2 linked regions of the Drosophila melanogaster genome follow. The protein of the gene in region 2 interacts with the protein of the main gene of each other region in a pairwise test. Each region holds a gene or a part of one and is shown on either strand. Other genes may lie near its edges.

What was found.
Region 1: the proteins of loco (region 2) and Galphai interact in a two-hybrid assay, tested with the Drosophila melanogaster proteins (2 studies listed by BioGRID).

Annotation. Positions count from the first base shown.
Region 1 is NT_037436.4:6,973,799-6,981,813, reverse strand, and holds the start of Galphai (G protein alpha subunit i), read left to right. Parts: upstream 1-1,769; 5' UTR 1,770-2,175; coding exon 2,176-2,296; intron 2,297-2,591; exon of another isoform or gene 2,592-4,167; intron 4,168-4,334; exon of another isoform or gene 4,335-4,645; intron 4,646-4,807; exon of another isoform or gene 4,808-5,492; intron 5,493-7,340; coding exon 7,341-7,812; intron 7,813-7,881; coding exon 7,882-7,976; intron 7,977-8,015. UniProt on the Drosophila melanogaster protein: Guanine nucleotide-binding proteins (G proteins) are involved as modulators or transducers in various transmembrane signaling systems.
Region 2 is NT_033777.3:22,636,191-22,641,044, forward strand, and holds the start of loco (locomotion defects), read right to left. Parts: upstream 3,198-4,854; 5' UTR 2,827-3,197; intron 2,758-2,826; 5' UTR 2,750-2,757; coding exon 611-2,749; intron 267-610; exon of another isoform or gene 1-266. UniProt on the Drosophila melanogaster protein: Acts as a regulator of G protein signaling (RGS).

The sequences.
Region 1 (8,015 bases), on a different chromosome or scaffold from region 2:
CCTTGTAATTGCTCCTCCATATCCATCTCTCTCTCTCTCTAGCCGCTGTTTTCCTGGCAGCTTGTTGTTTTTGGTTCTCCTTCCTTATTCATCTTCGTTTTCCCGATGGCGATTGAAGTTTTGGATGAAATGATGCCGACATTCGTCAAATTTGTTGGCATCAGCAAACAGTTTGGGATTCCGATTCCGATTCCGAATCCGACTGCAACAACAACAACAAGAGCAGCAATGTGGCAGCGTGCGCCGCATTTGCAGGCAGTAAGTGCGACAGAGATGGAATGAGAGCGACCACCCACAGTGCAGCATCACTGTATTTCTCTCTCGCTCGCACGCGCAGCGAAAACCGCATAAATCCATATTTCTCTAGCTTGTGCTTTTTACGATAAATTACAGAGGTTGCAGGGTGTTCGGTAGCGCACAAATGATCATTCATTCACAAGACAGCAGATACCCCCGCATGCCCCCTAATTCCTCACCGTCCCTCTCCCCGCCACTCCTACGCCCCTCTGCAAATGCCGCACTTTTCGTGTAAACATGTGTAAATCATGACCCGTTGATGGCCTTTATATTCATGGTAGAGCAAGAGGAGGGGTGGTGGATGTAGGGGGGTGGGGGTGTTTCTTGAGGAGGGGAGGGGGATGGTGGCCACATGTGACGTCCTCCGGCGGCGGCAAAACTTTTGCACTGCGACCCCATCCTCATCCTCATTCTCATTCTCATCTTTATCCGCATCCTCGTCTTCCTGCCTTCGCATCGCTTTGTTTAGATAAATTAGCTGCGGAAAGACCAGCCCCCCCCCCCCCCCCCCGTCACGTTCCATACCACAAAATTCACAAAATAGTTTCTTTTAATATCATCGATTTGGAAAAAAACAGAGGAGCTTCTATAAGTGGAATTATGCTAATGAAATTTTGAAATATTAATATTATTGCATTAATAAAGTTATTATTAATTATATGATCATTGCATATGCATGATTCTCTAAAAATAAGTTTAAAAAAAATGAAATTAAATATTACTAAAAATATAAGCTCAATAAAATATAAGCTCAGTTTAAATAAAAAGATTAACAGTGCAAACGAAAGTAATTTCTTTAGTTCTCATATGTTTTGTTATTTAAGAATTGACGTATTTATGTTATTTTTTAAAAAGTTCTGTTCTTCGAATTGACTTTAAATGATTCTAAATATTGTCAGTTTGTTAGAAAGGAGCTCCACTGTACCTGCGTCGCATGCAACTGCAGACATTTGGGATTCAAATCGAGAATGGAATGGAATTGTCCCAAAATAAAGGCAAATATTATTTATGCCAGGGCCCTGAGAACTTTTTCTCCAACGGCCTGCGTGCACATTGCATTGGTGTTGATGAGGGGGGAGTGGCGGGGCATGCATTTCAGAACAACATCATATTTTCGGCTATGTTTATTTACACTTAAAGCGCTATAACAACAAACTGAAATGCAAAGGGCAAGTTGGGCATAATGCATGTATGGCTCACGACTGAACAGCGGAAACAGGATCATATGAGTGGCATTCAAGCATAAAGTTTACAAAGTTGCGATAATTAAAATGCGTGTATATCAATTAAATTAATTTGAAATTTACCGCCCAAAAGTGACGTCACAGTTGCCTACAAGAAGATGCTAGCCAAGTCACACACCCCGCGAGTACTGCCAGACTGCAGCTAGCAGAGTACCACACCCGGCAGCGTTGCCACACAAACGATCGTGTGCAATGCACTAACGCCAGTGAGCAAGCGATCTGTGAACTTCGGCAAACAGTCACACCAATCCGACGCGAAGTGAATCATATTGCGCACAGCAAAATCAGCGGATAAGCAAATTAAAGCGACAAAAGAATATTAAATCGGCTCTGCCGCTGCAGCAAGAAGCGTGAAAACAGCAATGCAATCGGGCTAATCTCCAAAAAAAACCCAAAAACGTTTCAAGCCAGTGTGTGTGCGTGTGTTTGTGTGTGTGTGCTTGCGTGCGCTGCGCATGTGTGGTGTGTTTGTGTGAAAAGGAAGAGAGGTGGAAACGCACACAAAAAACGAAAAGAAAAAAAGTGTACAGCCGACGACGCGCAGACGCATCTCGAAATTGTTGGAAAAATCGCGTGTGAGAAGAGTGCGCGAAGTGAGAAAGGAGCAACAAATCGCTAAAGACATATTTCGAAGATGGGTTGTGCCGTGAGTACAGCACGCGATAAGGAGGCCATCGAGCGGTCGAAGAACATCGATCGCGCCCTGCGGGCGGAGGGCGAGCGGGCCGCCTCGGAGGTGAAACTGCTGCTGCTGGGTGCGTTCGCCTTCCATTTCACCTTTTCACCTCTCTAGCATTATTCCGGTATTTCCCCCCTTTGCGAATTCTTTGCTGAAATTCGCGTTGTGACCTCATTTTTTTTTCCATTCGCTCGCTTTGCTTGGGCGGGGTGGGTATCCGCTGGGTGCCGTTGCTTTGCGCTTTCGGCTGTGGTGAGTTGGGGCAAGGATTTTTGCCGGCTTTTCCAGTGCGAAAGGGTCTGGAAAAGGCTGGAAGGCATGGGATGAAACAATACAGTAGAGTTACAGTATAACGAATTAGTAAGACTAAAATTAGAAAAATGTAATTTATTTGTTTTTAAGATCACTCGTTATTATAAGACCATGTTATTCTAGCTAACAGTTTAACATAAAAGTCTAAAGTCCCCAACTATCCCATATTTCGACTATAAATATGCATGGAATGGAGTAAGTAGACTCCATGCAGCTCTGTTTATCTGGGAAAACCAATGTTTATGTGGCTGCTTGGGGCTAAACAAATCCGTCTGTTCGTAGATCGTGCATTATGCAATGTCTGTGTCCAATAATTCGTTGGCGATAAGGGAATTGAACGTAAATTGAAACCAAATGTCGGTTTGACTGTGCGGATACACTCGATTCTAGATTCTCGGTACTCAGTGCTCGTTTCTCATCTGCTGGCACGCACTTTTCAGATCTTTTGGATCGATGCAACAAGTGGATCGAATCGGATCCCATTGCCGCAATGGAAACATGTTTGTTGATAGCGCAGCGGTTTCCACTTTGCAGGAAAAACCATTCAAGCGACGAGGCGCCATCGTATCGCATATACAAACATACATGCATACATACATACATACATATATGATGTATGTATGGTTTTTGGTGACCCGACCTCTGCGGCAAATGCAGTGAAACTGAATGCCTCGCTGCGTTGCAACCTTCTGCAATTAAATTTCCACTCGCCGATTTATATGCACGGCATATGGGAACGATGATATATTTCACCGTCTGCGTGTGTACTTTTCATTTCATTGCCATTCATTTGCGAAAAACAATGCCGTGGAAGTTTTCCTCCAGCGCGGCTGATTGGCCAATGAATCGGGCCAAGATGACTAAGGCAACGAGTGGTAGGCTGGAAAGTACAGCAAAGACTGGCTATGCAACCTACACCTTTATTAAGTGAACTGATATATAGGGTTTACTGTACTAAATTAATTCATAATGTCAAATGTTATCATTTCAAAAGGATTTTTCTAAAAAAAAAAATGATGCACATTAGTAAATGATTTTTTTGGAACCTAGAACATAGTGTAGTTTTCATTTACACTGTAAAACATTTATCGAGCTTATCAGCAGCCACCGCACCTTGCACTATATTTGTTTGTGAGTAACCACTGTATTTGCAGGCTTAAAGATAATAAGGAAAACTGTTTGCCTCAATGAAAAACCTCGTAAACCGGTTTGGAAAATGCCCGCTAAAAGGTGCAGGAAAATTCTACCATTTTCATCCCCATTAAAAGATATCCCCTATTATCATTCAGTATCCCAGCTGTTTTCGTCCAAACCCCCGGTTGACCAGTGTAAATGCTTCTGGTTTACATAGCCAAGAAAACAGCTTGCACCAGTTGCATTTTGAAATTTAGCCCAACATTTTACACTTGATTCAATTGTTTGCACCTTGTGGGGCGTGTGTTCTGTAATTTCTGGATCATGATGAAAACCGATCTCTGATCTCCGATCTCCGAGCTGCTGCAGCTTTCCTCCGACTTCCAGCTGAGTAATTGGCTGTTTTTGTTGCTGCTTCGTTGTTTGTTCGCTGACATTTCAAGTGGGGTGAACGATATTAGCGCAAATAAATGGGCCCGCCATCAAATGCAACTGTCGCGGCTACACGGAAAGAAAAAGAAGAATGTACTAGTTTGCTAAAAAAAATATCTTTAAAAAATATAGTTTTCAAATTATGCAGTAAAGACATTGCTTATAATTTAGTATAAATATATATATTATTCATTGAATTTATTGGTAATTTCTACCAGTGTACAGCGACTACTTACTTGAATTGGAATCGGAATTGGCAGCCCCCAACGCTGCGCTTATTGAGTAGATTTAATAAAGCTGCTCAGCTGACACTCAATTTATATTACACTCTGCTGCCTCTCCCCTTTTCCTTACCCCCCCCCCTTTCCGCAAGCCTTTCAATTGAAAAGCACAACTTTTTCAACCGTTTTTCAACCAAACATATTGTGCTTAAGGGCAAAGATAGTGAATTACTGCATTATTTTGATGATATTTGCAAGGAAAGAGCAGCAAACCGAAGAGAGAAAACGAATTCCAATGGGGGGGGCATGAGTAAGAACTCGGATATCTGTAAAAAAAAAAAAAAAAAAAAAAATATGAAAAAAATGGGAAGAAAATAATATATAAACAAAATAGTGTCATGCTGCTGGCGCACCAATATCAAAATCGGCACTCAGACTGTCAACACACAGCAACTTAATAATCTACAATTATTTAAGAACTCGCTTACCAACACATTTAAACTGAAAGTATCATTGGGCTTATCAAAATTATCGCCAAGCGAGCGACCTTATACATATGTACGTCAATATACTATATGTGGTTAAATAATTGATGTACATATGTATGTACATCACATATAGGAAATTTCATGATAATCGAGAGATCTGCGTGAAAGTCACTACTAGGTGGGGGGCTTCCGTTTTGGGGCCGCATTTCATCTGATTTAATTGTTTACTTTTTCGGTGGGTCCGCTCAATTTCACACTCCCCGCTGATTAACACATTTCCCACTTCGATAACTGAGGCCAGGCGCCATTTAACTTGATTACTCATGGCGCAAACACTTTCTTACGATTCTCCTCCTCTTGCTGTCTACAGCTATTGTTCTTTCTTCTCCCCTCTTTTTTAAATCATCGCATGGCGTAGCCTTAGTCACCCTGTTTCCAATGAATATTCTAATTTCGATAAGTAATTATCTAACGAATTGGTTGGTGCAGTAAAAACTGCATGTCTTCCTTAAATTTCCTATCTAGCTAAATAGTGATTTTTTAATCATTTATGACAAATTGAACAAATATTTGAATGTTGTTTACAATTTCAAATTCTAATAAATATAATAAAAAGTTTTTTTAGCAACTTCTAACAACTATAAAATATATCAATAGAAGCTAGAATTCCTGCATTCCCCGCCGATTCTTTTTTCGCCGATATTCACTGTTTAATGATGTTAATTATAATACCGTTTGGTTGTGGCCATCGCGATGATAATGAGCTTGTAAACGCGGCTTTGTGCGTATCGCCGTTGTTCTGAGCCCGTCTCGCTCCAGCCCTATTGTTGGCCTCTCGCTCGCACCCGCAGTCGGCCGGGCGCGTGTTATGGCACAGCTAACGGTGCATTGATAAATGAAGGCCCAGCCACACCAACACACACGCACACACTCTTTCGCATTTTGTTAGTAGTGTTATTATTAAATTGACCTTTTTCCAGCCGCTCATTTGTGGATTGCTTTGTTCGCTACTTTTTTCCACACGGTGGCAAGTTTGAACATCGCCTTATGTCCATATTCGTATTCAAATCTGTCAATTTCATCATTATGCGGCGACCGTTGTTTGCCCATTATCAGCATTCAGCAGGCGTCTCTTTCGCTCCAACACTTTTTGGTGGCAAAATTAGTTAGCATTGTTCGGAATTGGTTAAAATTGAAGTCTTAACAATAACTCAAAAAAATTTATAAAACAAATTTAATGTAATATATATTGACAGTGAATGTAACAGTGGCCATTTAGTGTAATATATATTAACAGTAGGTGTAACAGTGGCCAGCACATTACAATTAGAGTGGACCCTATTCTAACACATTATGGTACCTAAAACTATAGGCTGAATTTCTTAATCTTCATAAATGTACGTAACATATGTATTAAACTTACCAATCTTCATTGAATGAGCACCATCCGCCCCAAGGGAACTTCAACCATGGCTGATTGATATACGTACGAATAGTAAAAACAATTAAAGTTTCAGTGCAAGTATCGAAGCCCTGAAAGTTGAGAAAAGTGAAAGTAAAGTCGCAGTTTTGGCTTTGGCAATTACCTAATCATCCGGTGGCTGGGAATGGACCCAACTACCAACTGCAGCAAAAAGTCGGCTTAATGCGCCATTGTTGCAATGCCCCAACATCGTGTATATATGTTTATATATAGCTATAGATATTCGAAATTACTTGGACCGGCAGATTTGCCAATTTTTGTATTTGCCCATTTGCTCTGCGATTTCAACTTCTTTAGTTTTCAGCGAAAAGGGAAACTGGCGAGCACGTAATGCGATTATGTTTCATATTTTTTTTTTTATCATTCGACGCAGCAGATAATATACATAGTACTACATATATAATAAACTGCCCAGACGAGCCCGTGTGTTTGTTGTTTATCAACGCTGACGGGTCAGGTCTCATTTAACAATTGAAGGCACTCGGCGAATAAAATTATGCCCAGTTAATTTTCTCCGCAATTTCCAACGCCTTTGATAACTAATGGGTGGGTGGTTCAACGAACTCCAGGGCTCGGCCATGCAAGTTAATAAATTATAATAAATTACAGAGTAGTACGCTTAGAAAATGCATATATCTATTTGGATTATCTTTAGCATGATGATGTGCATATAACTTGATCTGTTATCACAATATTATTGACCCTTATTTGGTGTTCATTTGATTCGTATTGAAATCCGACATGCTATATTAAATGACCATATACACGATGTTCATTCATTTCTCAACTAGACCAGCGCAATTAAGCGTGACCTCTTGAGTCGCGCAATTGAGCAACTTTTCTCGATCGTCTCATTCATAAATTCCACTTCCGTTCCCCTTGGCAAACTTAAAAGCCCCTTCCCGAAACCGAACTCATCGATTCATTCATTCAGTTTTACGCCCTGAACTTGGTGCATACAAATATTGAGCTCACACTTCCTTGGAATGATTCTTTATAAACTTTGATAGTACACCTTAACTAATAAACTCTGTTGAATTTCTTTTGTAGGAGCCGGAGAGTCGGGCAAGTCAACGATTGTGAAACAGATGAAGATCATCCATGACACGGGCTACTCGCAGGAGGAATGCGAGGAGTATCGTCGCGTCGTCTTCAGCAACACGGTGCAGAGTCTAATGGTGATCATCCGCGCAATGGGACGCCTGAAGATCGAGTTTGCCGATCCGAGCCGAACGGACATTGCCCGCCAGTTCTTCACACACGCCTCTGCCGCCGACGAGGGCATCCTGCTGCCCGAGATCGTGCTCCTGATGAAGAAACTCTGGGCAGACGGTGGCGTACAGCAGAGCTTCGCCCGATCGCGCGAATATCAGTTGAATGACTCGGCGGGATACTATCTAAATTCGCTGGATAGGATCGCGCAACCGAACTACATACCCACGCAGCAGGATGTGCTACGCACGCGGGTGAAGACCACTGGCATCATCGAGACACACTTCTCCTGCAAGCAGCTGCACTTCAAGTGAGTTGTCATTAATTGCCCACTTCCGGTTGATTCGATTCTAATGGTTATGTTTTTTTTTCGCCACAGACTTTTCGATGTGGGTGGCCAGCGATCGGAGCGCAAAAAGTGGATTCATTGCTTCGAGGGCGTTACGGCCATAATCTTCTGCGTCGCGCTATCAGGTAAGTCAAATATTCTACGAATCTTAGGAATCTAATGCA
Region 2 (4,854 bases):
CAGAGGAATCGACGGCGGAGGCAGCCGCTCGTGATGGAGCTCCACTGGTGATCGGCTTCAGTCGTGACCTACGCCCATGACGTCATTCGGCTCGGAGCACTTTATTTTTAGCCAGCGACTTCCGCCCTTATCAACCATGACGCGTTCGAATCCCCAAACCGTGATAATACCGATCGGAGCTGCAGTGTAACGGCCTGGACGTAAATAGTAACTAAAATCCGGCGATGTCCGTACCCGAATCGTAGATAACGGAACCGTGGCCACCTATTGCCAAAGCCCAACTGTGACTACCAAAACTCCGGGTAAGCGGACAAAGGAATGCCGATATATGGCCCACCAGACCACTAGAGAGAGAGAAAGAGCCCCTTATCTGTGGGCCCAGAGAGCAGGAGGAGCAGTGTGGGGCGATAAGCTCCGAGAACGCAGGTAACTTGGAGCGGCGTCCAGGTAAACAGATTTCTGCCCGCGCACAGGAGCGGTTCACATAAGCCGAGGGTTGTATGGGTTAGATTTGATATAAAATGCACTTATGATTATATTATAGGTATTCCCAATCATTTCAAAAACTTATGATACATGTAGGATAAACAAAAGGATATGCTCCACTTACCCCCAAATCAGGTTCACTGTTCGTAGCTTCTAAAAGGCAGTGGGAGGACGAGGAAGCGGACATGCTGGTCCGATCCTTGTGCGATTTGTGCAGATTCTGCAGGCTGGCCCACGTGTCCATGGTCTGATCCATACATGCACCACTGACCGACGACTGCACACTGTCGATGGCTTCGAAGCCCAGCGAATGACGCGAGCCAGGTTGACCAAATACCTGGGCACTCAGCTTGTGTGGCGTTGTTGGCGTCTCCAGAGCCAACGATCTGCGCATCTTGCGGGGCACACACGCTGGATGGGCAAACGTGTGGCCCTCATCGAGCGATGGAGCAGCCGAGTGCAGCGAAATGTCATCCATAGAGGCCACGGCAGCCAAAGTGCGCGGTGAATCGTCGACAAAAAGATTAAGGACATCATCACAGGAGCGGGTGGATGTGAGATTCGTGGCGGGACTTTGGATCAGATTGAAGCTGGCCAGGAGATTGGGTCGACGAAGCGAAGAGCTCGCTGGCGGCGATCTTAGCAGGGCGGAATGATCGGGCATGGCCCGCACAGTCAGTCGATTATCCGGTATTCCCACTATGCCCAGTGGACGAGCAGGAGCTGGATAAGTTGGTGGTCCTGCATGTGCCGCCGCCGCTGCTCCCGCTCCTGCAGCTAGGAAGTCCACAACCAGAATGCGATCCGAAATATTCGTACAATCGTTGTTGAAGCCAATGCCCGAATCCGAATTGGACGTGGTGGTGGAGATCTCGCTGTGGTTCGATGGCTGCGGCGAGTGGGCAGCTGCTACTGCTCCTCCAGCTGCGGCGGCTCCTGCACCCGCCTCATAGTCTGCCTGATGACTCCGACTTGCCGGTGGGAGAATCCGCATGGTATACATGCTGCGCACGAGATTCACCACATATTCCGAGTTGTTAGGGAACTCGAGACACAAATTCGAGATCGGATCCCGGGTGCACTGCAGGCGGAACTCGTGGGCCCGCTGCAAATGCTGTGCATGTTCGATCAGCTTGGTGTCGATGACGAAGACATGGCAGCTGTGCGAGATACTGATGTGACCAGCAGCTGCTGCGCTGCCAGCGCTCGGCTCGTACTCCTCCTCGATCTGTGTGTTGTGCACGGCGCTAGTGACCAGACCAAAGAATCGATTCTCGCTCTCCGACGAAGAGCTCACGAAGTTCAGCCTGGCCGAGGAGTAGGTGGCCAGCACTCCGCCGCTGGAACTCTGCAGGCTCAAGCTGTCCGGCGTGATGCACATCAGCACAATGGTGGGCTGTCGCTTCTCCTGTCTCAGTTTTCGAATGCAAGATCGAACTGTCTGCAGCTTGGAACTATGCGAGATCTGCTTGGGCATCTCGATGGTTCCCAGATAGCCAACAATAACACGGCACTCCAGTGCAGCACTGCCCACAGCTCGCACCATGGCACTTACATTGGCCACATCCGCTGCTTTGGATAGATTGGCTGTCAGAGGCGGATCCTCCAGAACGGGTTTTAATGTAGGGTGATCGGGTGATGACTTTGATTTGTGCGGTTCCACTGCCTCTGGTGGGTTTAGCTTCTTTTGTGGCGAGTTGCGCAATCTGTGCAGTTTGGCTTTGTGGTGTAGAAACCTGGGCTTGTGCCTCAAACTGGCTGCCAACAATTGACCCCTCAGCGTGGCATGGGCGTTCTCCTCATCCGAGCTGTCGGAATAATAATTCTCGGCGATCTGCATGCGAATACTGCCAAAGGAGTTGCCAATGAGCTGCACCACTGTTTCGTGTGGCAACTTGGAGACATTTAGACCGTTGACCGATATGAGGAAGTCACCGGAACGCAGGCCAGCTTGCTCGGCAGGTGAGCTGCTGATGATGCAAGACAGCCGACATGGTTGCTGCCCGGAAATGGTGAAACCGAAGCCATTGTAACCACGTCGCACTTCCACGGTGCGGATGCCATTGTAGTTGTAGTTGGCTCGCTTCTTGCGACGTCGCTGATGCTGCTGGCTGTTGGATCCCGAAGGCGTGGTTGAGGTGCTTATGGGGGCGGGCCCACTATTCGCAGCAGGTGATGCATCCTCCGCTGCAGCTGCTCCCGTTCCCACGGCTGTGGAGCCACTTGCTCCGGTTATGGGCAAAGGCGGATGATGGTGGTGCATGGCGCTTACTGTGTGGAGAAAACGAATGATGAGGAGTACTGGCCAATCTTAACCCACATCTGGACATTTGTACGCACCTTTCTCATGGATGGAAGCTGCAACCTGGATTTCTGGAAATGGAATGCGGTTTCTGTTGCGCCCCTTTTTGGATGATGCCCCCTCTCGCTCGCACCCGTGCGTCGCCTATGCCAACTATGTAATCAATGGCACACACACATGCGCACCAATGGCCAGGCGTATTTTGTTACACTTTTCTAGGCCTCTAATTAATTGATAACTAACTCTTCTTTGGGTGCTACCTCATATTCACGCGGTTAATAACATCGTTGTAACTTTATCAGGCATATTTGTAGCAATTAATTGTGTGTAAATCGGTAATTAAAATTATGTCTACAATGCGCAAGCGTAACTATGATTAGAGATGGAACACACTAAAATGTTTACTCGATACTATCGATATTACATACCTTTTGTGAAACATCGATCACTTTGACACACCATATTTTTAGTAATTACTGTTAAAGTTTTGCAGAATGTCAACAATTTTTAACAAGCAGTTCTAGAGAAAATTTGATTTGTTCAAATATTGAAGGCATTGACCATTGATAGAAAAACGATATTTACAAATTTGAATTAGATAAAAACAGGGCTGCCAGACTCATTGAAATTTATGAAGCAATCGTTGCCACACTGGGCTGACCTTCGTTGCATAGCAACGAACTTTTGTCACATCCCACTGCCGTCAGTTACTTTTCGATTTAAATAAAAGCTCCGAACGCTCGTCCTTTAAAGTCCTTCCGGTGAGCTTACATCTGCGTAGCGTGTTATTTGTGTTTGGCCCACGCCGTTTCAGTTACATTGGGACTTTCAAACGCATTGGTTGAACGCGCGCACCCAGAACCGCTGTTGAATTAGTTTTTGAACCCGAAAACAGCAGTTAAATTGCTCGAGTGAAATGTAAAATGTTATTGGTAAACGGATCGAAGTGTTCGAAGTTCTAACGCTGAAATGTTTAAGGATTATCCGTAGCAAGACCTGCAGAAGTGACCCCAGTCAGCCAGTGTTGAACCAATTGAAATGTTGGCAAGGACATTACGGACAAAGAATAGAAAGCCAATAGAAAGCAATGGGGGTGGGATGTTGCGGAAACGGAAGTGCCAAATTGAAATGCCATTTAAGCCAGGCGAGCGATTTGCCCGTCTTCGTTTACGGCTCATCCGGATTCGTCTGCGTCTGGTCAGGGCACTCAGATTTCTTGCGGGGAATGGATTCGAGAGCGCGGCAAGTGCGATCCCCAGACGACACTTGGCGTCGCTCTTGACATTGATTATATTCATGAGACCAAGTCATAAATTCCAGCCCGACTGTTTACGAGGATTCTAACACCAATCCGCTGTCCCCGATTCCCGGTCTCTGCCCAAAGATGTGGCCAAGTTGCGACTGGAGTGCCAATAAAATCATTAACTGTTGCAGCGCATTAAATTCATGGCCCAGACGATGCTGCCGCGCTATTCAGGCAGCAAACATTGTCATAAAACCTCGGCCCATTCACGCCATATTTCATTTCATCTCCTCATCTCCATCTACCTCACATCCATCTACCTCACATCCTAATTGCCGAAGGTCCTGAGTCCCGTGGGCGTGTGAAAAACTATTAAAAGGCCGTTGGGCCGTGCATCGTGGGCCCATAATTAATGGCGACAATGACTTGATCGGCCGATAATTAATTTATCGTCATTTATATTGCCAAACTGACTCGACGCGCACATACTATATATGTGCTATATACATGGTTACCAAAACGGTTGGCGATCCCATGGGAGCTCGTAAATTGTCCAGAAGTCTAGTTCCTACTTCACTTTAATTTCTTGGCTAGCGAAAGTTTTCTTTTCAACTAAGCCCAAGTAAGTTTCAGTTGGTTCTATTGTATTATTTTGGCACATGCTTCATTCCTGCTCGCCTCTCACATAGTTTTGGCCACAAATTAGTTTGGCAGTGGATTTTGTTAGCCACTAGGAGATGCCGAGCATTTTGCATTCCCATACCAACCGACTTTTCGCCTGTTTTGTCCAACTATTTTGCTGCTGAAAGTTGGCAGGAAAAGT